Linked DNA regions of Caenorhabditis elegans. The protein of the gene in region 1 purifies or fractionates together with the protein of each later gene. This does not show direct contact. Each region holds a gene or a part of one and is shown in the gene's direction. Other genes may lie near its edges.

Evidence for each region.
Region 2: the proteins of F33H2.6 (region 1) and F42A10.7 fractionate together in Caenorhabditis elegans (co-fractionation; one large-scale study listed by BioGRID). This does not show direct contact.
Region 3: the proteins of F33H2.6 (region 1) and E04F6.8 fractionate together in Caenorhabditis elegans (co-fractionation; one large-scale study listed by BioGRID). This does not show direct contact.

Annotation. Positions count from the first base shown.
Region 1 is NC_003279.8:15,011,568-15,020,424, reverse strand, and holds F33H2.6 (Regulator of microtubule dynamics protein 1), read left to right. Parts: upstream 1-3,829; 5' UTR 3,830-3,845; coding exon 3,846-4,114; intron 4,115-4,173; coding exon 4,174-4,350; intron 4,351-4,506; coding exon 4,507-4,643; intron 4,644-5,004; coding exon 5,005-5,135; intron 5,136-5,311; coding exon 5,312-5,503; 3' UTR 5,504-5,571; downstream 5,572-8,857. Other genes in the region: dog-1 (Helicase ATP-binding domain-containing protein), read left to right, coding at 1-20, 94-252, 303-426, 505-669, 1,107-1,195, 1,453-1,908, 2,724-2,952; pole-1 (DNA polymerase epsilon catalytic subunit), read left to right, coding at 6,551-6,591, 6,636-7,274, 7,327-7,657, 7,706-8,325, 8,373-8,619, 8,666-8,768, 8,836-8,857.
Region 2 is NC_003281.10:6,175,568-6,183,480, reverse strand, and holds F42A10.7 (MD-2-related lipid-recognition domain-containing protein), read left to right. Parts: upstream 1-4,794; 5' UTR 4,795-4,803; coding exon 4,804-5,156; intron 5,157-5,255; coding exon 5,256-5,466; 3' UTR 5,467-5,565; downstream 5,566-7,913. Other genes in the region: Zinc metalloproteinase nas-28, read left to right, coding at 263-460, 564-633, 680-844, 892-962, 1,009-1,128, 1,221-1,422, 1,467-1,598, 1,770-1,921 and 2 more; F42A10.6 (MD-2-related lipid-recognition domain-containing protein), read left to right, coding at 6,620-6,770, 6,818-6,983, 7,029-7,143, 7,189-7,287; abcf-3 (ABC transporter domain-containing protein), read right to left, coding at 7,429-7,669, 7,770-7,913.
Region 3 is NC_003280.10:7,208,403-7,215,749, reverse strand, and holds E04F6.8 (Cuticle protein), read left to right. Parts: upstream 1-4,369; 5' UTR 4,370-4,370; coding exon 4,371-4,457; intron 4,458-4,606; coding exon 4,607-4,831; intron 4,832-4,877; coding exon 4,878-4,952; 3' UTR 4,953-4,999; downstream 5,000-7,347. Other genes in the region: E04F6.10 (uncharacterized protein), read left to right, coding at 763-915; E04F6.9 (Periplasmic protein), read left to right, coding at 3,594-3,677, 3,724-3,948, 3,993-4,070; E04F6.15 (DeHydrogenases, Short chain), read left to right, coding at 5,481-5,537, 5,667-5,926, 6,194-6,302, 6,353-6,886.

The DNA of each region.
Region 1 (8,857 bases):
CAGTACCAATCCACGTATAGGTAGGTATTTTCGAAACATTAACGAAAGTTCGGTTTCTGGATTTTCGAACACTACAAAAATTTACAATTTCAGGTTAAACATCTCTATTGAGCCGATAAATCAAAATGGGCGATTCAATCATACTTTTGACGCAGACGTCTCGATGTCGACTTCATTTGGAAATCCAAGACCAACAACGACAAGAAGCTCGGCGGGACCCAGAAACATGCAGTACAAGGAGGAGAACGCATGGTTTTCAAAGCAATTTTTAAAAATATGAAAAAATGTGTTTCAATTTTCAGGCTAGCAGATGCTGCAGCTGACGGAGACGATTGGAAGGATCCGTCAATGTCAGAGACGGGTCATAAACCGATTTCAGAGGGCTGCAAGACTACGATCAGCTTGTGGTGTATGAGTCCAGCATTGGTTAGTACAATATAAGTCCTATAATTCTATAAAACTAATACAAAAATTAAATTTCAAGCGTGAAAATCGAAATTTCAGTCTTTCTTCGACGCATTCAACGAAACACGTTCTATAGTCCTCGCATCGGGTACTCTGTGCCCAATGGACACTTTGAAAACCGAATTAGGAATGGAATTCAAGCAACAAGTAGAAGGAGATCAAGTCATTAATAAGGATAACATTTTCGCAGCGGTTTTGCCAATTGTAAGGAAAACATTTGGTTAGGTAGCGTCGTGTGGTGCCCTGAGAATTACCGAACGAATGAAATTTATTTCTTAAAGAGATGACAGGGCACGTGTTGTCAGACAGTCTCATTGCAGGCTGATCTACAAAACATGCGGGAATTTTACCCCAGAAAAATGTGACGTCAACACACTCTTCATCATGCGAAATCAGTTGAAAAGTCTGCGTCTCTTCTCATTTCTCGAAGATCAAACCAAAATGAGGCAGGAATTAGGATTTAAAATTTTTGATGCAAATTTATGTTAATTTACTTAGCATTAATGCTAGCATTGAAAAAGTATGTCATTCGTCCTATAAGTCTCCGGCTAGCATACAAGGTTTATTTTCGAAAATACGGTCTAAAAACTACCAAAATAAAAAGGAAAGCCTTATTAATTTAATTGATTTAAAAATTCCAGGGTCCCTTTGGAAATCGCATTCAGTGCACGTACCGCAACACGTCAGATCCGGAATCTTCATTTTATTGCGAGCTTGGAGCAATTATCAAGTACGTTGGCGGATTATTTTTCGAATTTTCTACTTTCAGAGAGACTTGAAAAAAATGAATAGATTTTCAACAAAAATGTCAAATTTTGTTTAGGTTATTTAAATCAAGACTTGTTTAAAACAAATATAATTTCTGAAAATTCAAATCGGAAAACTTAGTTTTTGTCTAATTTTTTATAAAAAGTTACAAAAGCCTTGAAAAATGTTCCAATTGTTGGAAAATTTTCGAATGTTAAGAAATCAGCTCATTTTTTGCAGGTATGTATGCAGTAACGTGCCAGCAGGAATTCTATGTTTTCTCCCCAGCTATCGAGTTCTAGATCAATTAAAACAATGTATGATCCGTAATTCAACAATGCGACAAATCGAAATGAAAAAAGTTGTGCTCTACGAGCCGCGAAGATCCTCAGAATTAACATCAGTAATGGATCAATTCGATGCGGCGATCTTCGATCCGTCTAGATTCGGTGCAAACATCAACGGATCTCTTATGTTTGCCGTTTTTCGTGGAAAAGTTTCCGAGGGCATTGATTTTGCCGATGATCGTGCGCGTGTGGTGATTTCTGTCGGAATTCCGTATCCAAATGCGATGGATGATCAAGTGAATGCGAAAAAGTTGTATAATGATCAGAATTCCAAGGAAAAGGGGATTTTGACTGGCGATGAGTGGTATACCACGCAGGCCTATCGAGCATTGAATCAGGCTTTGGGAAGGTGAATATATATACAAAGCCGCGTGGAATAAAAACTACGTTTTTTTTATTTAAAAAATGTTATGCTATGCTACAAATGTTCAAAACACAGCAATTTTCTACTGTAACACATAATTCTGAAATTTGCGCAACATTTTTGACGCACAAAATATCTCGTAGCGAAGACTACAGTAATCCTTTAAATGACTACCGTAGTGCTTGTGTCGATTTACGGGCTCGATTTTCGAATTTCCTAATCGAATTTTGACAGCAGTATTTAATTTGTCTTTTTTTTTCTGTATTGTTTTGTCATTTTTGTGTTAAAAAAAAATATTTAAATGAAAAACGTCCAATATTGCCTTATAGGAAACTCATACAATCGTATTTTTACATTATTTTCCGTCTATTGCCGGGTTTCACCTGGAAAACCTGCAATAGACGGGAAATAATGTAAAAATACGTTTGTAAATAGGAGTTTCCTCATCAAAATGAAGGCAATATTACACGTTTTTTTCTATTAAAACAGTTGGTTAATGAATAAAATTTTTTTAAGTACAAAAATGACTAAACAATACGAACAACGAAGGAAAATTGAATATCACTGTCCAAATTCGAAAATAAAATCGAGCCCGTAAATCGGCATAAGCGCTACTTTTAAAGAAATACTGTAATTTTCGCTGCGAGATATTTTGCGAGTCAAATATGTTGTAAAATACGCATTCTCAGGATTTAGTGTTCCCGTAATATCAAATCTATAATATCACGTGAAATAAGGGAATCAGTAGAAAAACCATCTGGCCAAATTTCACTACAATCTAAAATTCATTAAATCTTCAGATGTCTCCGGCACAAAAACGACTGGGGAGCAATGCTAATGATCGATGAACGCCTAGAACGTCAAACTGGAAATCTTGTGGGCGGAGCCTCGTCTGCTCGTGTCTCAAAATGGATTCGTGCTCAACTGAAAAGCTATCCGAGTTTTAAAGAATTTAATGCGAATTTTCGCGAATTCATCCAGCGTCGACACGCTGTTGAGAAAGCAAAAAAAGAGAATTTTTGTGAATGAATTAAACTTTTTCTAACTTTTTTTTTTCGATTAAAACCCCCGCCCCTTATCTTTTTTACGTGTAAAATTTATGATTTTTCCTCATTTTCTTAAACAATTTTTAGACGTCTTTTTTAAAAGTTAGAATCTCCCTAATGCATTGTTTTTACCCCTTTTTTCAAATCGATTTTCATAAAGCTTGGCCGAACTTTTTCTCTCTTCTCTCATTATCACTTATCAGTGTTTACCTTTACACCACTTGTACTTTGAACTGTGAAATGCTGACAACATTATAGCGTTCTCAGTAGCCTACGAGAATTTTTCTAAAACTTGCCTGGAACCAGTTTGAACGCAAAATTTTTCCCTTTCGAGTGTTCAAAATTAATTTTCAAATTTTCATTTTGTTCGAAAAAGGTTTTGGCGTATGACTCTTTCCGAATATCTTTGTGAAATTAAAAAAAAACTTCTCGGATTTAATATTTCAGCTTGAAATCTCGCACCCAAAACTTAACGCGCCAGAGGCAGTCTCATTGGGGCGCACCGTGCTGTGTCGATTTACGGGATTTTTCACCATCTGTCATGTTTTTTCAAAAACTTTTTTTTTGGTTATTATTTGGAAAATTGTTTTTTCCGTGTCAATTGAACATTTTATTATATCCAAATCACAACTCGATGAAAATCCGAATTTTCGAAAAAAAAAACGATAAATTTAAGGCTTTTTTAGTTTAAAAAATTTAAAGATATTCGGAATTAGGGGGTTGGAATAATTCAGTGAATGCGTCTTTGAGTATGAGTTTTTTGAAAAATTACCTATGTACTTGGAAAAAGGCCATCGAAATTAATAATATATTTTTGTTTCAATATTTATAATTTATTTAAAATTGTCTAATTTTTGCAGCCTCTGAAGAAAAAAAATGTTCAAACGAGTATTCAATCTCCGTTTTATTTCGAATTTCTCTCGCCGCCCGACATCTTCTCCAAAACTTCCGAAATTAATTGCAATCACTGGTGGAACCTCGCTTGGAATCGCATTTTTTGGAAAAACTGAAGAGAACAAGAATTTGGACTCAGGAAATGGACAATTAATTGATGGAAAACCGAAAAATTTCGATTTAATTGTTCGAAATTCGGATGAACTTTATGATAATTATCTAATCGATAATTGTTATAATATTTTGAAAAAGTGAATTTTCAATTAACTTTTAGAAATGTCCATTTTAACTTTTCTTTCCAATTTTTAAGATTTGAAAATTCCAATTGCTCCGAGCTTCTATGGCGTCTGGCACGTGTGGTTTGTGAGAAAGGAAAACTCTCAAAAGATCAAAATCAACGAAAAGAGCTCATTTTGGAAGCCTATGGAATTGTGAAAAAAGCTCTTGACAATGAGCCAAAGAATGGATGCTTTGGAGCACATAAATGGTACGATTTGGAGTTAAAACGCTATTTATTCCGGGTAGAACAACACAATTTTGCGAGAAAAAAAAACTATGACTGAGGGTGGAAATCGAAAACTGAGCACCTGCCTTTTTTGGCGGCTGAGTTTTAGCATTTTCTATGCCACATGGCTATCTTTAGGTATGCCATTCTACTGGATTACGTTGGAGAGATCGAGGGAAACAAATCGAGAATCGAAAAATCATTCCAAGTGCGGAAACATTTAGAGAAGGCGTTATCGATTTTCGAGAACGATCCAACAACGTGGCATATTTTGGGTAAGGGATTCCGGATTGAACAGAGAAAAAAAAAGAAAAATCATGTTAGAATTTATTCACGTGGAGTCAGACGGTCCCTTTTCGCTTTGATCTACGAAACATGCGGGAGGTGAGACGTAGACATCTCAACTGATTTCGCATGGTTAACAGTGTGCTTACGTCACAAATTTTCTGGGAAAAAATTCCCGCATTTTTTGTAGATCAAACCGCAATGAGACTTTCTGACACCCCGTGTTTATTCCGAATTAAAGCTCTACAGCTCACCGTTCAATCAACGGGGGCGGGCGGTGCTTAACCATTATTTTTTTTAGATATTTCTGCATTTCGCTTCGAGAATTAAAAAGAAAACCTCAAATTTCAGGAGTCTGGCACTTTTCCTTCGCCAATATGGGTTACGCGACTCGAATGGTGGCCAAAGCTATTTTCGCAACTCCACCAGCATCCACATATCAGGAGGCTCTACACTATTTCCTAAAGGCTGAACAGATTTCGGTAAAAAAATATCAGAATTCAAACACTTTTAGTGAATCTCTCATAGTCAATCAAAAACATACAAAAATGAAAAGTTGTCGACCAAATTTTTTTACACTTTGAACATTTTCCTCCACTTGGGAAGTAAATAGTGCCACGAAAAATTCAGATCATTATAGTTAAATTCAAATTTTCAGCCCGGATTCTACAGTACGAATACCTACTACATTGGCGAAGTGTACGAACAACTAGGACAAAAAGCCGAAGCACTTGATGCATTCAAACAATCATTCAAAATGCCAGTTGTGACTTCTGATGACGCGGTTATTCATAAGAAAGCATACGAGAAACTGAAGAAATATGGAGTCAAGGATACTGAAGTTGTTTAGATTGTGAAAAATATGTATTTGTAAGATGATTGTTGTAATTTTTAACAGAATAAAAATATTTATTTGAATTTAATAATTGTCTAATGTCAGCTAAATAATATTGTCGGAAATGAGGCACCACGGTTTCAAGATCTGGTGAAATTCCGGATCTACGTTTTCCGGAAATACGATTTCCGGATCTACGTTTTCCGAATCTAGCACCGTGCCAACCCACAAAACGCTTTTTTATTCACTCGACGCACGTTGTTTTTTGAAAATTTCTTCTAGAAGAAACGCTTAACAACACGCGACGCTTAACAACGGAGCATCGTTGTCACGTTTTTCTCCGAGAAAAATAGCGTTTTAAGAGTTGGCCAGATCCGGAAAACGTAGATCCGGAAATGGTAGATCCGGAAAACGGAGATCCGGAATTTTACCAGATCTTGATACCGTGGTGCGAGGCACCACGTTTTCAAGATCTGTTCAAAAACAAGATCTACGAAAACAAGATCCACCAAAACAAGATCTACGTTTTCAGGATCTGGCACCGTGCCAACTGCGGTTTTCTCGAAGAAAACGAAACAACGATGCTCCGATGTTACGTTCGCGTGTTGTTTAGCGTTCAAACGAATATTTTTTGAAATTTTCTTCTAGAATTTACGCAACACGCGTACGCACGCGTAGAGAAAACCGCAGTTGGCACGGTGCCAGATCCTGAAAACGTAGATCTTGTTTTGGTAGATCTTGAAAAGGTAGATTTTGTTTTGGTGGATCTTGTTTTCGTAGATCTTGTTTTTGAACAAATCTTGAAAACGTGGTGCCTCCGTGGTGCCTCTCGGAAATTCAATTGTATTGCTTTAAAATTCAAATTCTGCTCCTTCCCTCCATTTTATGATCTGGTGGCCTAGAATTCCACCCAACTCGTCCTCTGGCCGAGCGCGCGAAATCTTGCATTTTAAACTCGATTTCCCATGAAATTAACTTAAATTTGCCATTTTATCTAGTTTTTTCTTTAGTTATTTGATTTTCAGTATTTTCAGACAAGTTCGGTCATCGCCAGCAAGCTCAATGAGCTCCAAGGATGACATTCTTGCACAGGCGGTCGAAAAGTTTGTTTCAAGAATGGAGAAAGTATAAAATCTTCTTTTTTTAGTGATTCAAACTACAAAGAGCGGCTTGCCCTGATCAGATCAAATGATGAGATTGATGCGAAGCTTGGTTTCTCTAGATACACAGGACTACAGGAGAAAAAAGGATTTCTGATAAACATCCAACCTTCGGAGCTTGTCGACGAGCAAACCAAAGTTATTATTTCGGTCGTTGACTATTTCTTCATCAGTGATATGGACGAACGCTTCAAAATCAGTTACCCATTTCGACCGTATTTCTATATTGCCACGTTGGATGGATTTGAATTCCAAGTATCCAGTTATCTGTCCAAGAAGTACGGAGCCCAGACAGCAGTTGAACATATGGATCGGGAGGATTTAGATTTGAAAGATCATCTTTCTGGGTTGAAGAAGACATATATCAAACTCTCATTCACCAGCACCGTGGAATTGATAAAAATCCGTAAGGAATTAATGCCGCTGGTGCGGAAAAACACAGATCGCATCAAAAAAGAGTCGGCGTACGCTGACTATTTGGCGAGGAATCTGAGTGGAAAAGGAGGAGATAGTAAGGATCAACAGTTGAATGGTGACATCTTGAATCAAATTGTTGATATCAGAGAATACGACGTGCCTTTTCACATGAGAGTTTCCATCGATGAAAAGATCTTCGTCGGATTATGGTTGGAATCATCCTTTTCTTCTTTTTTAAATTCTAAATTTATAAATTTCCAGGTACGATGTGAAAGGAATTGGCCCGAACCGTGTTCCAACAATAAAGCGAAAAGATTTGCCCTTGTTCCACGCAAAGCCGAAAGTTCTCGCCTTTGACATTGAAACAACGAAACTTCCGTTGAAATTTCCGGATCGTGAGAGCGATGAAATTATGATGATATCATATATGGTTGATGGACGTGGATTTTTGATTATCAACCGAGAAATCGTGTCGGCTGATATTAATGCGTTCGAATACACACCGAAAGCCGAGTACATAGGAGAATTCACAGTCTGGAATGAGAAGGACGAAGCTGCTCTGATTCGGAAATTTTTCGATCATTTTTTGCAGGTAAATTCTACTTTTAAACTGAATTTGATTAGAATCATTTTCTTGCAGGTTCGTCCAAATATTGTTGTCACCTACAATGGAGATTTCTTCGATTGGCCATTCGTAGAAGCTCGTGCCAAGATCCGCGGATTCAATATGGAAAGGGAAATCGGATTTTCTAAGGATTCCGCCGATGAGTACAAATCACGAAATTGTATTCATATGGACGCTTTCCGATGGGTCAAACGTGACTCATATCTACCGGTTGGAAGTCAGAATCTGAAGGCAGTGACGAAGGCAAAGCTGAGATATGATCCAGTTGAGGTGGAGCCGGAACTGATGTGCAAAATGGCTCGAGAGCAGCCTCAACAGCTGGCCAATTACTCGGTTTCGGATGCAGTGTCCACTTATTATCTCTACATGAAGTATGTTCATCAATTTATCTTCGCTTTGTGCACAATTATCCCACTAGGAGCAGATGACGTGTTGAGAAAAGGATCTGGAACACTTTGTGAAGCTCTTCTGATGGTTGAAGCATTCCATAACAATATTGTGTTCCCGAACAAGTACACTGGACCAGAGGAGACAAGATTCAGTAAAGATGGACATCGTGTTGAGAGCGAGACCTATGTCGGAGGACACGTGGAAGCTCTGGAGGCCGGCGTATTCAGAGCGGATATTCCAGCAAAGTAAATTCAGGATTCATTTGAAAGCGAGAAAATAACGATTTTTTCAGATTCCGGCTTTCCGTTCCTGCTCTTGAGCAATTAAAATCCGAGATTCAAGAGACCCTTCGCAAGGAGCTGGCTCGAGAGTTTGAGGTCACTCTTGACCAGGTCGTTGACTTTGATGAGCAGTGCGCTGAAGTTCAAGATGCATTTGATGGAATGATAAATGTGCCAACACGCCTCGAGAATCCACGTATCTACCATTTGGACGTCGGGGCCATGTACCCCAACATCATTTTGACTAATCGATTGCAGGTTAAGATTTGGACTGATATATATTTAACTATTCTCTGATTTTCAGCCATGTGCGATGGTCACCGAGGAGATTTGCATGGGATGCTCCTACAACAAACCAGACGCAGAATGCAAGAGGACGATGGCTTGGGAATGGAGGGGAGAGCTGAGTACGGAATAATGATTTTATATTTATTGAAAGCCCAAGCAAATCTAGCCCAAATCTGAAATTTTCAGCACCAGCCACTCGAGGAGAATA
Region 2 (7,913 bases), on another chromosome or scaffold:
ATAAAATTATGACCTGAGAATGAGCACAATAGATTATTTCCGTTACTGACAGGGCGTATTCAATTTTTACAAAATTTTAATAACTGGATCCATTTTAACTGACCATTATTATTATTGACATGATGACTCAAGCTGTGATGTTCCTGTTCTTTCAAAAACTTTCATAAACCTCCATTCTCGAATAACAACAACAAACCATTGGGACCACTATGGATAACCCGTATATAAACAGTGCCTAAAATTAGTTATCCATATTCAAAACATGTTCTTCCCCGTTGTATTCTTCATCCCTTTCGTGCTGGGTGCCCCGACTCAAAAGGCCCTGGAAAAGATTCTGGTGGACAATAATCCTGATTCAGTTACAAATCGAGAGAAGATTCGTGGAATTATCGATAAGGCGTTTGAGAATCGTGTTCCGAGGGTTCAAGGAAGACAAGGTGTTGCTCCTCCTGTTACTTTCGTAGGTTTTAGTTTAACTTACAATTAAATGTAGGTATCAAAAATACTCCAACCTTCAATGAAATTTTTATCCAAATAGTAAATTGTAAAGGTTATATTTCCAGGCTGCCTTAAACTACGGTCCAAAGAACAATCAGACAAAGAAATTTGAAGAACTGAATCAAGATATCAACGGCAAGTTTCTTCGATTTTTTGAGTTAAAAGAAACTGTGTTTTGTAGAATACACATTTGAATCTGACATCATGCTGAATGAGAAACAAGCCAAACACATTGCAACTGCAATTGAAAATGGAAATTATCGATCAAAGAGGCAAGCGATTGTAGATACTACCAATTTTTGGAGTGTCAGTGTTCCGATCTTTTATCAATTTGATACTAAATTATGTAAGTTCTAGTAAATTTTTTGTTTAAACTGGGAAAAAATATTCCAGCCGCCACCAACATAGCCAATGTCAGAAAAGCAATTCAATTTTGGAATGATAACAGCTGTCTGAGCTTCAAGGTTTCCAACAATCTATTGGTTCCTTTTTCAAATTATAATTTTTCAGGAAGACAATAATGCTAAAAACCGTCTCTTTTTATCATCTGCAGGAGGATGTTGGTCATATGTCGGAAAGCAAGTTGACATGCCATACCAAATGGTTTCAGTTGGGCCAAACTGTGATACGGTAATTTTTATTCATATTTAGACATTTTTACAGAAAACATTCAAGTGTTTTATGTCTTCCTATGAAGAGCTCTAAAAACAATTTATTTTCAGTTTGGTACTGCAACCCACGAGCTCATGCATGCCATTGGCTTCTGGCACCAACAATCACGCGCCGATCGGGATAACTACGTCTATGTGGACTTTAGCAATATCATTCCAAGTCAGGCATACAATTTTCAAAAAATGGCAGTGGATCAGGCACAGCTGTTGAATTTGCCATATGATTATGGAAGTGTTATGCAGTATTACCCATGTAAGAGCAAAAATTAATTTGAATTGGTAATGAAAATATTACAGATGCATTTGCTGTTGACTCATCGAAGTATACAATTTTGGCAAAGGAGAATGGATTCCAGAATAGTATGGGACAACGAGAGGCACCAGCATTTTCAGATATTATCGGAGTGAACAAGTTGTACAATTGCACAAGTAAGCACAATTGGGTGATGTGTCTTGTAATATACTCTTTGATGGGGTACTGTAGGGTTCAAAATTGGATAAACTTACTGTAGACGGACTGTAGACTGTAAAATGTAGCTATTACCAAGCCAAATTTTATTACTATTCATTTAGCCATTAAGCACTTTTCATTTTTTCCAGGCCAATGCAAGATACAAATGAAGTGTTCAAATTGTGGAATCACAGACTCCCGTAACTGTAATCAATGCAAATGTCCGCGCTATTTCACAGGAGCTAGCTGCGATAGCTTACCATCTGGTACTGCTCCAAATTGTAATGGAGCCGTGCTTCAGGTAGATTGAAACAACTTTTTGAGAACTAACAGAACATAATGCTTTCAGGCTACATCCTCTTGGGAAACCTTCGACGCAAAAGCCGGAGACCCATCCAGCTTCTCTTCTTCCACAGACAATTCGACCAATTGTTACTGGCATATCAAAGCTCCAGAAGGACAACAAATTGAATTCAAAATGACAAAAACTCCATTGGCAGCAATATGTATGCAAGAATGTCCATGGCAATCGATTGAAGTTAATCTTGGAAAGTTTGACTTATTTGGAATGATGTGAGTTTAGGGTATACTATTGAATTTTCAGTTCGAAAATTATTTTCCAGAACCTGCTGTGACACAATCCTAAACCAAGTGTTCACCTCTGAGCTTAATATGATTGCTCTTCGTGGAATAATTCGCTACAATCAGTTGACGTTTAGCATTCAATATCGAGCAGTGCCAAGTTCGAAGCCTGCTTCAACCAATGCTTGCTTGAACCAGTGAATTTTTTGGGATTGGGAATACTAATTTATTAATTTATTGACTTTTATATCTTAATCAAGGGTCTCATGTTTACTTTGATCTTTCCACTTGAAATGAATTTTTGTGTTATCTAAATCCAAAATGTGCTAAAAAAGTCAACTTCAAAATATGATGTTGTGTGTAGTGTGTTTGTGAAGTTACCACCAATACAAATCTATTTACATTCAACTTTAGGTGAAAGTTTTGAAAGCTTAAAAACAAATTTGAAGTTGTTGAAAACCTAATGAAAACCTAAACAGTAATTCTGATACAAGTTTTTAAACCACCTAGCTCAGAAATGACAATGGCTAACTTGTAGTCTATGTTTATCACAATCCAATAAACAAATATCATCCTATTTTCTGAACCGGATATCGCCGAAATCTATTGCGCATTTACTCTTGTTTGCTCTCAATCTTTTGATGTCTGCTCTGCTCGAAAAACGTTTATCTATCACTTTTTTATTATCACACACTAAAAATTGTAATGTCATCGAAAGTAGTTTCGTTCTAGGTCATTCAAATAATCCGAAAATTGCAGTATAGGTCACATGGAGGAAACGTGTACTTTATACTGTTGTTGCTACTACTTCTGCTAGCGGTGCTCCTGAATTTTACTACCCTTATCAGAACCGGTTTGTAAGGGGAAAAGAACAAAGAAGAAAAAGTTATCAGTCAATAGAACATAGTTTGTAAAACATAGGGTCTATTATGTTTCAGAGAGGAAACACCCATCAACTAGTCTATGATCGACTAAAGTTTTTGGTTTAATTAGTTATGCGAAGAATGCCAAAATTGGGAAAAAAGTTTCTTATAAAGTTCCCAGGTTATCAAAGTAAATGGTGAAATGGTACTGCCAAAATGTTCTTATAGGAAACATCTACAAATCCATTCGAACTTTTGTAGAGTTTCAAATGGAAATTACCATTATAGAACAAATCAATATGAGAGTAACCCGTCAATTACAGATCGAGTAAATTACAAATATTATAGGCTTATTTATAGCTTTACGCAATTGTCTTCGTATGTTTTCCTCAGATTTTTAATGTATTTCAACAACGCTTCGTGCAACAAAAAAAAAATAAAATCTACCCATTATAACTATATAGTCTCGTATTCTACATAGAGGGTACTTTGGGTTATCAGAGAAATTTTAAAATATTTTTAATTGAAAGAACATGATTGATTAAATAAATTTCCATACATACATTTATTTGCAACTTAAACAATATAAATTTCGCTCTGGAAAGATTTAAAACCTCAAACCTATAGGATGTGTACGTTCTTCCTGCTTCTCCTTTAACTGATTGTAAAGTTATCATCATTTTACCGACCAACTTAATTAAACGAAAAGATTTTTCCAATAAGACGTAAATTGGTTTCAACGAAATAATTAAAAAGTTGTGTACGTACATTCTCTCAAAATAGGTTTAATGCCGCATAACAGGAACTGTGCAAATTGTCAAAAATGCAACTCAATAAACAAATATTCTAACAGGAAATGATCGACTAAATATATATTTTATGTGAAACTCATATTTCAATCAGTGATCAAGTTTCAAATGATAACGGAACCGATTCATGTTTTACTTGACAGGTTTGCAAGAATTGCGGAAATTAAACTTTTTAATCCTCCCAAATCTTCTACGAAATTCGTTATCATTTTTTCTAAACCGGACAACTTTTCAAACCACATTCTTGCTACCACTTCAGTGTCCAAAAAATAAAAATCGAGTTCGGTTCGCCCTCTGCCCCAAAATTGTCATTTTCAGCACGTGTTTGCAACAAGTTTTCCATCGACGTCAATTGATTATAGAGTATATTTGGAGAGCAAAGGAAGTGGAGTAATTAGAGAAAGCACAGGGGAGTTTCAGAAAAAAAAAGAGAAAAGTTTTTGATAACGTCGCGGACATACCGAAGAGCAAGCATAATAGAGAAAATGGGTTGATGTCTGATAAGGAAAGAGCCCCGGGATGTTTGAAGGGGGTGGAGATTAATTGAAACGTATAAATGAGGAGCTTGGGAAGGAGTGGAAGGTCATATTTCTGATTTTCTGTTAGACTATAGTAGGGAAAAAACTCCGCTTTTGGTTATTTAAGGCCACGAACGGTTTTATAATTTCACCATTTATTCGTTTCAGTAGAAAAATACAGTTTAGCCGAACTCACGCTGTAGGCAGATCGTCATGATGTACACCAAGATTCATTTTAACTTGGGCTCGAGTCTAAACAGAAGTCCGAGCCTGATCCTACGCTTCTTAATAACCAGTTCCCCAAAGTTATTCTACTTGCATTCTACTCCCTTATCATCACTACTTATCACCATTTCACCATTCAAAACTGTCATTTTTTTCAATGAATTCTTGAACTTTCAGCCTCTCACAATGCTTCTCAGGTGTGTCATTCTCTCAGTTCTTTGCATCGCTGCCACTTCTTTTGTTCTCCCAGTTGTCGACAACTTGGCAGACTGTGCTGCACCAAATGGAACCGACAAAGTGATGCACTGGTGGCAGTGCTCATCTGGACCAGTTCAATTTTTGAATGCTACTCCATACGACTCTACCGGAAAACAATACGAGTACCCAATTCATTTGAGTCAGCCAATTGTTGTCAAGACTCAAATCAATAACCCAACGAGCACATATGTGTCGCCAAATCTTCGTAACACCGTCAATATCTGGAAGTATGGAGGATGGAACGGATGCACATGGAGCTCAATCCCAACTCTCGGTCTTTTGTAAGTTTATATCTTTAAGTTAATTCTAATGGATTAGAATGGGTGAACTGTTTAGGCTATTCTCGACTTCTAAATAATAAATAACGATTCATCTTCCAGGAAGGACCTTGACGCCTGCGCAAACGGAGTCCCATGCCCAGTCCGTCCAGGAAACCAAGAACTTGACGTCATCATTGACTTCACCAAGTTCGACCAAATCATCGCCTTACTCAAGGACAATCAGCCATATCAACTCGAGTACATCCTTCACGACAACCAATCCGGAGACACCTCATGCATGATGGTCCAGGCTTGGGCCTTCCTTAAGTAAAATGCTTTCCCATTTGGCGATTGGCTTTAAGATTTCTAATTATATTTGCACTATAACACGGGCGTATATTTTAACAACAATAAAATGTACATAATCTTGACTTTTTGTTGGTTTTTGTTCATTATCAATTTGAAGGAAAAATTTCCGAAATCGAACTAAAGTTGCGATAACATTTTGATAAAAAAGAACTATTCGCACTGGAAAATGTTGCATATTTGCCATTTTGGCAATGAACCAAAAATCAAACAAGTAAACAAGGAATCAGAAATTATTAATAATTTCCCGATTCAGTTATAGTTTGAAAACTGAGAAATTTCAATAAGTACCTAAAGTTGGAAGTATGAAGAATACGTGCTTGCACAGGTTTTTTAAAACTTTGTCTTTCCTTCAATTCATCGGATTTAATGATCAAAATAGAAGAAGAATATAAAAATCGCATAGACGTCAAAAATGAAAATTTTCTTCATATCTTATGAGTACAACGAGTTACTTTACCACGCGTCAATTTCTTAGGCCTCCATTGTATCATAATTTTATTTTAAAAAGCTTGGAATCAGTTATTCATTGTATTAGAAAAACATGGTGCAGTAGCGGCCTTCATATTGACACGTGTTACAGTAACCCGCTTTCCGCGTGGCGAGACCCATTTGCGTAAATTATGACGGAAACTCTCATCTTCTGACGTCTACGTAATATTAAGACGCTGATAAAGCTAAAGTTGCTGAACAAAGTAATGAAAAATAAAAATGTATGGTACCCAAGTTTTAAAGGCGCATAGCACGAGTGAGCAAAATTTTCAATCGTGGCGAGACTTCGAAAGGTGCATTTCTCAGGAATACTCAATATACATATGAAATTTTTTCAATGAAAATGAGTACTTCCTGTGGATATTTCCGGTTCTCTGTGACCTCTTTTTTATTCTAGAATCACAATTACATGCAAAAAACTATTAAAACGCGTGGTTTCTTCAAATTGCCATGTGCTTTGATATTTCTCTTATCGTAGTTTTTCCTATCGAATTTGATGATCATTTTGCAATTTAGTTTTCCATTTTCTCAAATTTCCCAGTTAACCAATTACAGATTCACTATTTTATTCCAACTTAGATCACATCCACTAGCTTTCGAAACGAAAAATTCTACTTCAATTCCAGATGCTTGCTCGTTGTCTGTGTCTCTTCGCCCTACTTGCTCTCTCGTCGGCATGCGATCAATGGCCGAATACTACAGAGACAAAGGTCAACTGGTGGCAATGCTCAAATGGACCAGTTATGGTGACCAATGTTAATCCAACTGATAAGAGTGGTTCGCAAGTTTTCTGATAGTTTCTACGAATGTATAATTGAATCCAGGTAACAGTGAATATCCAATCCGTCTTACTGAACCACTTCTCATTGCAACATCCATCAATGATCCATCCTCAACTTATACTACTCCTGGACTTAAACAAACTATCAAGGTCTGGTCATGGAATATGGCTACTTGTGGATGGTCTTCAGTACCAACTTTTGGACTTTTGTAAGATTTTTGCTTCTTACAGTAACCTACAGTAACCTTTTCCAGGAACAACATCGATGCTTGTACCAACGGAGTACCATGCCCAATTGAACCGAAAAACAAGGTCATCAATTTGGAACTCGACTTCTCTGATACTCCAGCTATCATCAATCTTCTCAAGGTTATTTTGATGTGTATTCTTCGAAAGTTAAACCCCCAATTTCAGAACGATAAGCCTTACCAACTCGAGTATCTTCTTCATGATGACCCGAGCAAGGAAGACCTTTGCATTATTTTCCAGGCTAGAGCTCTCACTCATACTTAAATTTTGAAGTGAACAATTTAATAAAGCAATAAACTTTTTTCTCAACAAAAATTATAAATTGAATTCTTAAATAGTGTAACAAAACGTGGAAACTGGGTGAAATATGGGAAACAACCGAATGCGAAACAAAACAGGAAAAATTTAGGCAGTGAGTTGAAGCTGCTTGTAGACTTGCTTTCTGTATTCTTCGAGTCCTCCCTCCAAAGTTGTCACCATTCGATCCTTCACAACCCAAAGTTCCTTGCACACAAGCTCGATGAGTTGCTCGTCGTGAGAAACTAAAACGACACCTCCATTGAAAACATTAAGCGCTTTTCCAAGAGCTTCAACCGTTTCGACATCCAAGTGATTAGTAGGCTCGTCAAGAATCAAGTAGTTTGGCCTGAAAAATACTATGAATTAGACGGAGTTTGAATAAATTTTTTTTTCTAGGAAAAAATGAATATTTTTTGAAAATGTTGCTATTTTCAAGCAAAACTCACTGCATCAAGGCTAAATTAGCAAATGCCAATCGAGACTTTTGACCTCCAGAAAGTGTCTCAACAGATTGCAAAGCCATATCACCAGCTAATCCAAATCTTCCCAAAGCTGCTCGATAATCTTCTTGAGTCTTTCCAGGATGATTC
Region 3 (7,347 bases), on another chromosome or scaffold:
TACATTAGGACCAAGCAACCGCACTTTTGATGACGGTGTTCACTCGAGTAGAAAACATTAAGCAATTGAAAATGACGGATTTGTTACGCCCCTCTTCAACTTATTCCTGATTCCATCTTTTATTTTAGGATACTTTGCAATTTGATTTGGGGAATGTTTGTAGAAAAGCATACACATAAATAAAGAGCTTCGGCAATTGGAAAGGAAGTTTAGCCTTCGAAAGTGAAAATATTGTCCAATTTTATTATGTTTTTTTAATTAAAATTGTACAACTTAGATTATATACTATGAAGAATATCATGCTTTGCCAAGATTGAACTAATTGAGTAAATCAAATGTGCACTCTGAATTAGTATAGTTGACAGCATCAGATCTTCTGCATATACACATTTGAGGTGTCAGTCAAATGTGTAATAATTTTTTTTGAAACTTCGTTTTCTTTATTCTTTTTCTTTTTCTTTTTTTCAAAATTTATTTCCCAATTGTCGAGCCAACAATCAAATTATGCCACAATCTCTGAGCATCAGCTGACAATTAATCATTTTGTGGTCGCTCTTGACACATCTTCCCCGCCGAAATATGTTTCTTCATTCATTGTATAACTTATAACAGGTGTCTTATTCTATTGCATTCCAACAACATTAGAAATGTAAAACCTAGTTTGATTAATGACTTGATGCTCCCCTCATCAATCAAGAAGAGAGATTACCAATAAGCTGCCACCATGCCATACACCAATTAATTCATTCTGTTCTTTTCCAGGGAGGAGCCATCTTCATGTGTATTCGGTTTTTTCAAAGCCAGCGACAACGTGGAGAATACGAATTGGAACATCGATTCGAAAGGGGTCCGTCTGGTCGCGTGCCGGTCGCTCAGGCAACCCATCAAAAAATCAACAAGAATCCCATCACGTAACGACTATGAGCCGATTGGCGAGTGTGTAGATGTTATTGAGACTGAGAGAACGGGTTTGGATGGATCGGTTCCTTCATTGGTTTCAGGTACTTTTGAAGTGATAGTTTAAATGTGGGAACAGAACAAATAAGCGTATAAACAAACAAATAATCCAAGTCTGAGAGTGAGAAGAAACGCAAAGTAACACTTATGAATAATAAGAAAGTCATTAGGAAACAATTTTCTCAGAACACAACATTCGTGTAATTCTAAAACACTGTGATATACTGTTTAACTAGGTTCGAGCGGGGAAACTGTGACCTACTGAACAAAACTTTCTAACTTCTTCCAACATTCATTTCAGGACCTTCCACATTTTTACATTTTCCTGCATCACCTGCCCCAACATATTCCTTTCGGGAAGATGATTGTCAGACCGATATTGAAATATCTGAAGATGACGATGATCCAACAATAACCCTATCCAATTGGCGTCATTCATCTCCAACTCTTTCAATTTGTACTCCAATTCTTACTACTCGTCGATCGACTTCTTATTCATCAATACCAACCATCGATCGTACGATTAGCGAAGACTCGATGCTGGTGATTAAACGTTTGTAGTTTTATTTCTTTAAGACAATTTATTTATTCAAAAACTCTTCATTCATTACGGGTAGATAAATTTTCTAGTTTTTCCATTCTATCAACATAGACCCAATGCTTCTTTCCTTTTCTTTTTACCGTACGATTTCCAAAACATTCTGCCAATTTGTCATTTGCTATATATTTCCTCCATAAATGTTTCCCTTTTTTCCTTCATCCCAATCCTTTTTTTTCTGGTAATAATAAATTCCTTTTCTGGGCAAAAAGCAACAAAATGTGAGCCAAAAAAGGCGACTGATGATAGATGGTGATGATTTGAATGTGACTGGAAGGAGGAGAAGAAGACGTCGAAAAAAGCGGCAAGCTAAGAAGAGTGATGGTGTACATGGGACGATGTGGAACAACTAATCCAGGAATGAAATGATAGTCAACCACTGACATGTTATTCACTTGAAAAAATAGTCCCTTAAAGGGAAATGATATGGTGAAGTTTAATAAAATTCCCCAGAATACTCCACTTTCAAAAAGTTTCAGGAAGTCTTATTGGATAATTCAAAATTCCTTCATGGCAAAGTTTTTATATATATTTGTAATGGATTGTGCAAACATGAATATTAACAGTTTTATTTATTTTGTTATCATTTTGTCATAGCCTAGGTCAATCTCGGTAGACGATAGGTTTTCAAAATAATCAAACAAATGCATCTGATTGTTTAACTTTTTGTACGTTTTTCATATACTCTGATGATTCAGATCAATTTGATCTTTTTAGAAGAATGTTCAAAATTTCCACACTTCGAAATCCTGTTTTCACAATTCATTTCATCCATTTTTATGAGTTGGAACGATAAGAAAAGAATCTTAACGATGAAAGTGTCAACTGTTGTTACTGACTCATTCACTTGTTGTGACGGAAACTGATCCGAAGGTCGGAAAATTTTCAAGAATAACACAAAGTTTGTAGAGTATAAAAAGAGCTGAAGAATCTGTAAGGCCTCAGCCTTTGAAACGTTATTCATTTAACTCACAGAACGTATATTTTATATCTGATGTTTAAATTTTTTATTATGCGTTGTAATATTCTGATAATAAGACCGTTTTTTTTTCTAGTCCTAAAAATTATTAGTCGCCTTCAAGTTCGCCTTCAAATTGATTGTTTTAAAACCTGTTTCAATCTTGAGCACACAATCTCGTCTTTTGTGAATTAGAAATAATAATTCATCAAAAATATAGAAGGTGTTTTTGATCAGTTAAAAAAATTCAAAAAAGAAAATTTCCGCTCTATTGATTTCTTACTTTCCATCACAACATAATTCAATTAAGATAGGGACTATAAAAGTTTGCTTGGCCACAAAATGGCATAAATCGGTTTCAGATAAGACACATTCGATTCACCTCTTTTCTTATTTACTAAACTCTTATTAGCGGTAAAGCTAACTACACATACACGTAATTTTTTTGAGGCATAATTATGTATTATCAGTAATTTTTGGAACTCTAAAGTACTCTAATTTATCAATTAAATTATCTTTCCAACTAAAAAACGACATATTAAAAATCGACTAAACATCCTGTAAACTTCACATCTATCAGTAAAAAAAGCTACGCGCCTCAAAACACGACCTTCTCAATCCCATCATTGTGAACTTTCATAGTGTTCTCACATTGATCTTAAGAACAAATAAACTTCCTGATTGTTCCATTTTCAATACTTCTCCAAATGACATTCTTTGAACAGTCTAAGGAAACGAATCCTCATTTTCTAGTTCCGTGTTCCAACTCTGTAGGATTTTTTGTATAACTCTGATAACAAGAAGGATATTTTCTCTCACTCTAGCCAACAAACAAATGATAAAAACAAAGTGATTGATTGCAAAGTGGGCTGGGCGTTTAGTTTAACCAGCGGAGGTGCTTACCCTATTTTTTTCATTCGAAGGCAGTATCTTCTGGCTGACGACACTATTTATTGTTGTTCCAAGAGAAAGGTTTCATCACTTTAAGATTTTGTGCTTTTTCTTTCAATTGTTCTTCTGAATTTCGTGTCAATTCACAAAACTTTTTTCATTCTTGAAAATTAAATAAAATTTCAGAAAATGAACCGCTTCATTCTTTCCGCTTTCCTCCTTGTTGCCATCTTTGCCATATCCGATGCTGCCGTTGCTCAACAGCAGGTTAAGGTTTGTTGTAACTCCTATTTGAAAAATAACAAAAAATCATTTTCAGGACGGAGAAAAAGTTGAAATCGATGCTTTCAAGGGAGCCAAGGCAATCAAGAGAACCGTTGCCGGTGGAGATCAAATCTTCCACCTTGACGGAGATAACAAGGGATCATTTGTTGATGCTAAGGGAAAGAAGATTGAGTCAACCAATTATGAAGCTAATAACGGAATCCTTATCATTAAGAAGTTCACCAAGGCCGATGTTGGAACCTACTCCGAGCACCCAGCTGTAAGTTTTCAGTGGGAGAAATAATTAGAAATGTTTTATTTCAGAAAAACACCGAAACCAAGCACGCTGATGGATCCATCTCCGCTGTTCCAGGACTCACTCTTGATATCTCCCTGCAATAAACAAATTTCATTCGGAATGTGTTCTAATAATTTCTCTAAATAAAATTTTTAAAACAATTTCGTGCAAACTTTGCAAAAATAAACAAAAATGTGAGTCAGAACAGAAATAGGCGTGACCTCTATTCAGTCAACAGGTGACCAATAAATCAAGTCTCATTCGTCACTATTTAATGGGTTCTAGAGATGTTTTCTTTCTTCATTCTTTTTTCTCTCAAAATCATCTGAGAAAACTTTGTTTCAGGAGCTTTTTGAATTGTTTTCAATAAAAGCTTTCCTTAAATTTTTTTTATCATTTTCAGAATGAGCCGGTTTTTGATTTCTTCGTTTATACTGATTGCCTTTGTTCTTCAGTTTGGAGAAGGATCAATTGCAGTTCAAGAAGTTAAGGTTTGTAAAGTTTTTTATCTGACAATAGTTTAAAAACTGTTGTTCATGCTTCTACAGGAAATTTTAAATGTATTTCTCAAAACTACTCGAAACTTCAAAAGTTTTCTTATTTTGAAATACCAAGTAGTATTTTACAAATTCCATTTTAGGATGGCGAAAAAGTGCAAATTGAACTTTTCAAAGGAGCCAAGGCAATCCAGAGATCCGTTGACGCTGGCGAACAGATTTTCCATTTCGAAGGAGAAAACAAAGGAGTGTTTGTGGATGCTAATGGAAAAGCTATTGACTCGTCAAATTATGAAGAGAATAACGGACATTTGGTCATCAAAAAGTTCACAAAAGCTGATGTTGGATCATATTCTGAATATCCAACGGTATTGAATTCCTGAAATTCCCGAATTGAAAAAGTATTAATTTCAGAAAATTATCAAAACGAAAACGGATCATGGATTTTCTGGAGTTGCCGCGCCAGTTCTCAAACTTTCTCTTCAATAACTTTTAAAAACTGTTTCAATAAATTCTTTTAAATAACAATAAATTGTTTGCAATATTTCGTAAAAACCTGTTTGAAGGAATTATTTAACCATTATTTGGAAAAGAAATTTGAATGTAGTAACTGTTTCACGCCCACAAAAAGTTCTGTTAAAATATCTCCAGAGCAAATTCCGCACTGATCTGTTAAATATTTTCTGTAACACTATTTCTATTTTTACTATTTTTTTCGGCTATTTAAAATTAAACCGCAAGACAAATAGGGAAATTAGTGTGATTTTTAATTCCAATAAGGCGAATCTTATAGTAAGTTTTTTTCTTATTCGAAAGTACTACTTTACTGATAAGAAAATGAAAAATCATTCAACTTGCATCGATCATTTTCCTCGTTTCACCTGAAAATATGACATGAATATAGAGATAAATATGTCAATTTAGCTACAGTTTTACCAATATTCATTGAACTTCACATCATAATTTCTCAATATAAAACAGGAAATTCAGAAACTCATCAATTTTTTCATTTTCAGAATGGTTGCTGATGGTAAGAGGAAACGGCAGTTTCATTCAAGAACAAATGCACTAGAAGTAAGCGTTCTTTTAGTATTAAATGTTTCATCAATTTCCTAAATTTAAGTTTTAAAAATTCGATGATGTCCTACTCCCTAGTGTTTTTAATCTGTTTCAAATTCTTGCTATAATTGAATCCGTTTTCAGGTATTGGATGGTATTGACCTTTCTGGTAAAACATTTGCAATTACTGGAACAACATCTGGGATCGGAGTTGAGACTGCTAAAGCATTGATTTTAAAAGGAGCTCACGTTGTAATGATAAACAGGAATTATACAGCATCTGAAGCATCGAAGAAATCTCTCCTAATTGAAACTCCAAATGCTCAAATTGATATTGTTCAATGTGATTTGAATTCACTATCATCTGTGAAGAAGGCAGCAGATGAATACTTAGAACAGAAATGGTAAGCGATAAAGTTGATACATTTAAAAACTTAAAATGATCTAAAGAGTTCCGAAAAACCGAAGTTAGAAATGGAGAAATATTTTGGTGTCTCTATATTCAAATTTTCTCTGAGACAAGACGGGTTTTAATCAGAGATCTAAAATTTTAGTGAAATTTTGAAAACCCATGTTAAGTTATTTCCGTTTTAAACTAATATCCTCCAAACTCATCACTTAAATATTGTATTTTATTAATCCTGCCTCCCTTATCTTTGATCTATTCTTAGGCCACTCCATGGATTAATTTTGAATGCTGGAGTTTTTGGTCCAAGTGAAAAAACAACATCCGATGGATTTGAAGCTCATTTTGGAATCAATCATCTTGCTCATTTTATTGTATGATTTTTTACAAAAAAAACCCGATCTTAACTGAATTATTCTTGCAGTTAATTAAGGAGCTTCTGCCAGTTCTTCGAGAATCAGCACCATCAAGAATTGTAATAGTTACATCAATGCTCAGCAAGCATACATGCGTCAAACCTGATTCCAGAATTGTGGAAAAGCTTGACACACTTTGTCCAAAAGAAGCAACTCAATGGTATTTCCGCCTGTATGCAAAATCAAAAATGTGTAACATTCTAACCGCATTCAAATTGCATCGAGATGAATTTAAAAATAGAATAAGTGTTTATGCAGTTCATCCAGGATCTGGAGTTCGCACAGATCTTCATAGAGATTTTGGTTTATGGAGCATTGCTGACTTTCTATCAATCCCATTTACAAAGAATGCAAGCCAGGGAGCAGCAACAAGTCTTTATTGTGCAGTACATCCTGAAGTGAAAGAACTGTCCGGAAAGTATTGGGAATCGTGTTGGGATGATGAAAAGAATTTGGACAAAAAAGTTTCAAGAGACGAAGAACTTCAAGAAGCTTTATGGGAACATTCAGAAAAACTTATCATGAAGTATTTGGACTCATAAAGTTAGATTTTAATTATCGATAACTTTTCTTGAAACATTGCTCAAAATAAAATTTTATTTATTTTTTCGCCTTTTAGAGAAAAAGAGGAGATATTTACAACTTTAAACTCTTCATATTTCTCTAAGCTAATTTTTTTTAAACTTGAGGTAATATTTTAAATACGAGTCTCGCTATAATAATAAAAATTCAGCCAATTGAAATATAAAAGTTAAAAAAAAAATATATTTCCTATTTAATTATACCTTCGACACCAGTTTCGGGTTCCAAAAAATTGGTACCTGAAACGAAAATTTTCGCTTTCTCAAAATTGCTTACTATCTATTTCATTTTCATCACAAAGTAAGGAGCAAATATTTATGGACTCAATTTATTGAGTTATCAACAAAATACTGATAACCAAAACGTAATGTACATTTTTTTGAGTAAAAAACCATTTCGTTGAAATCTTCTGTTAACAAAG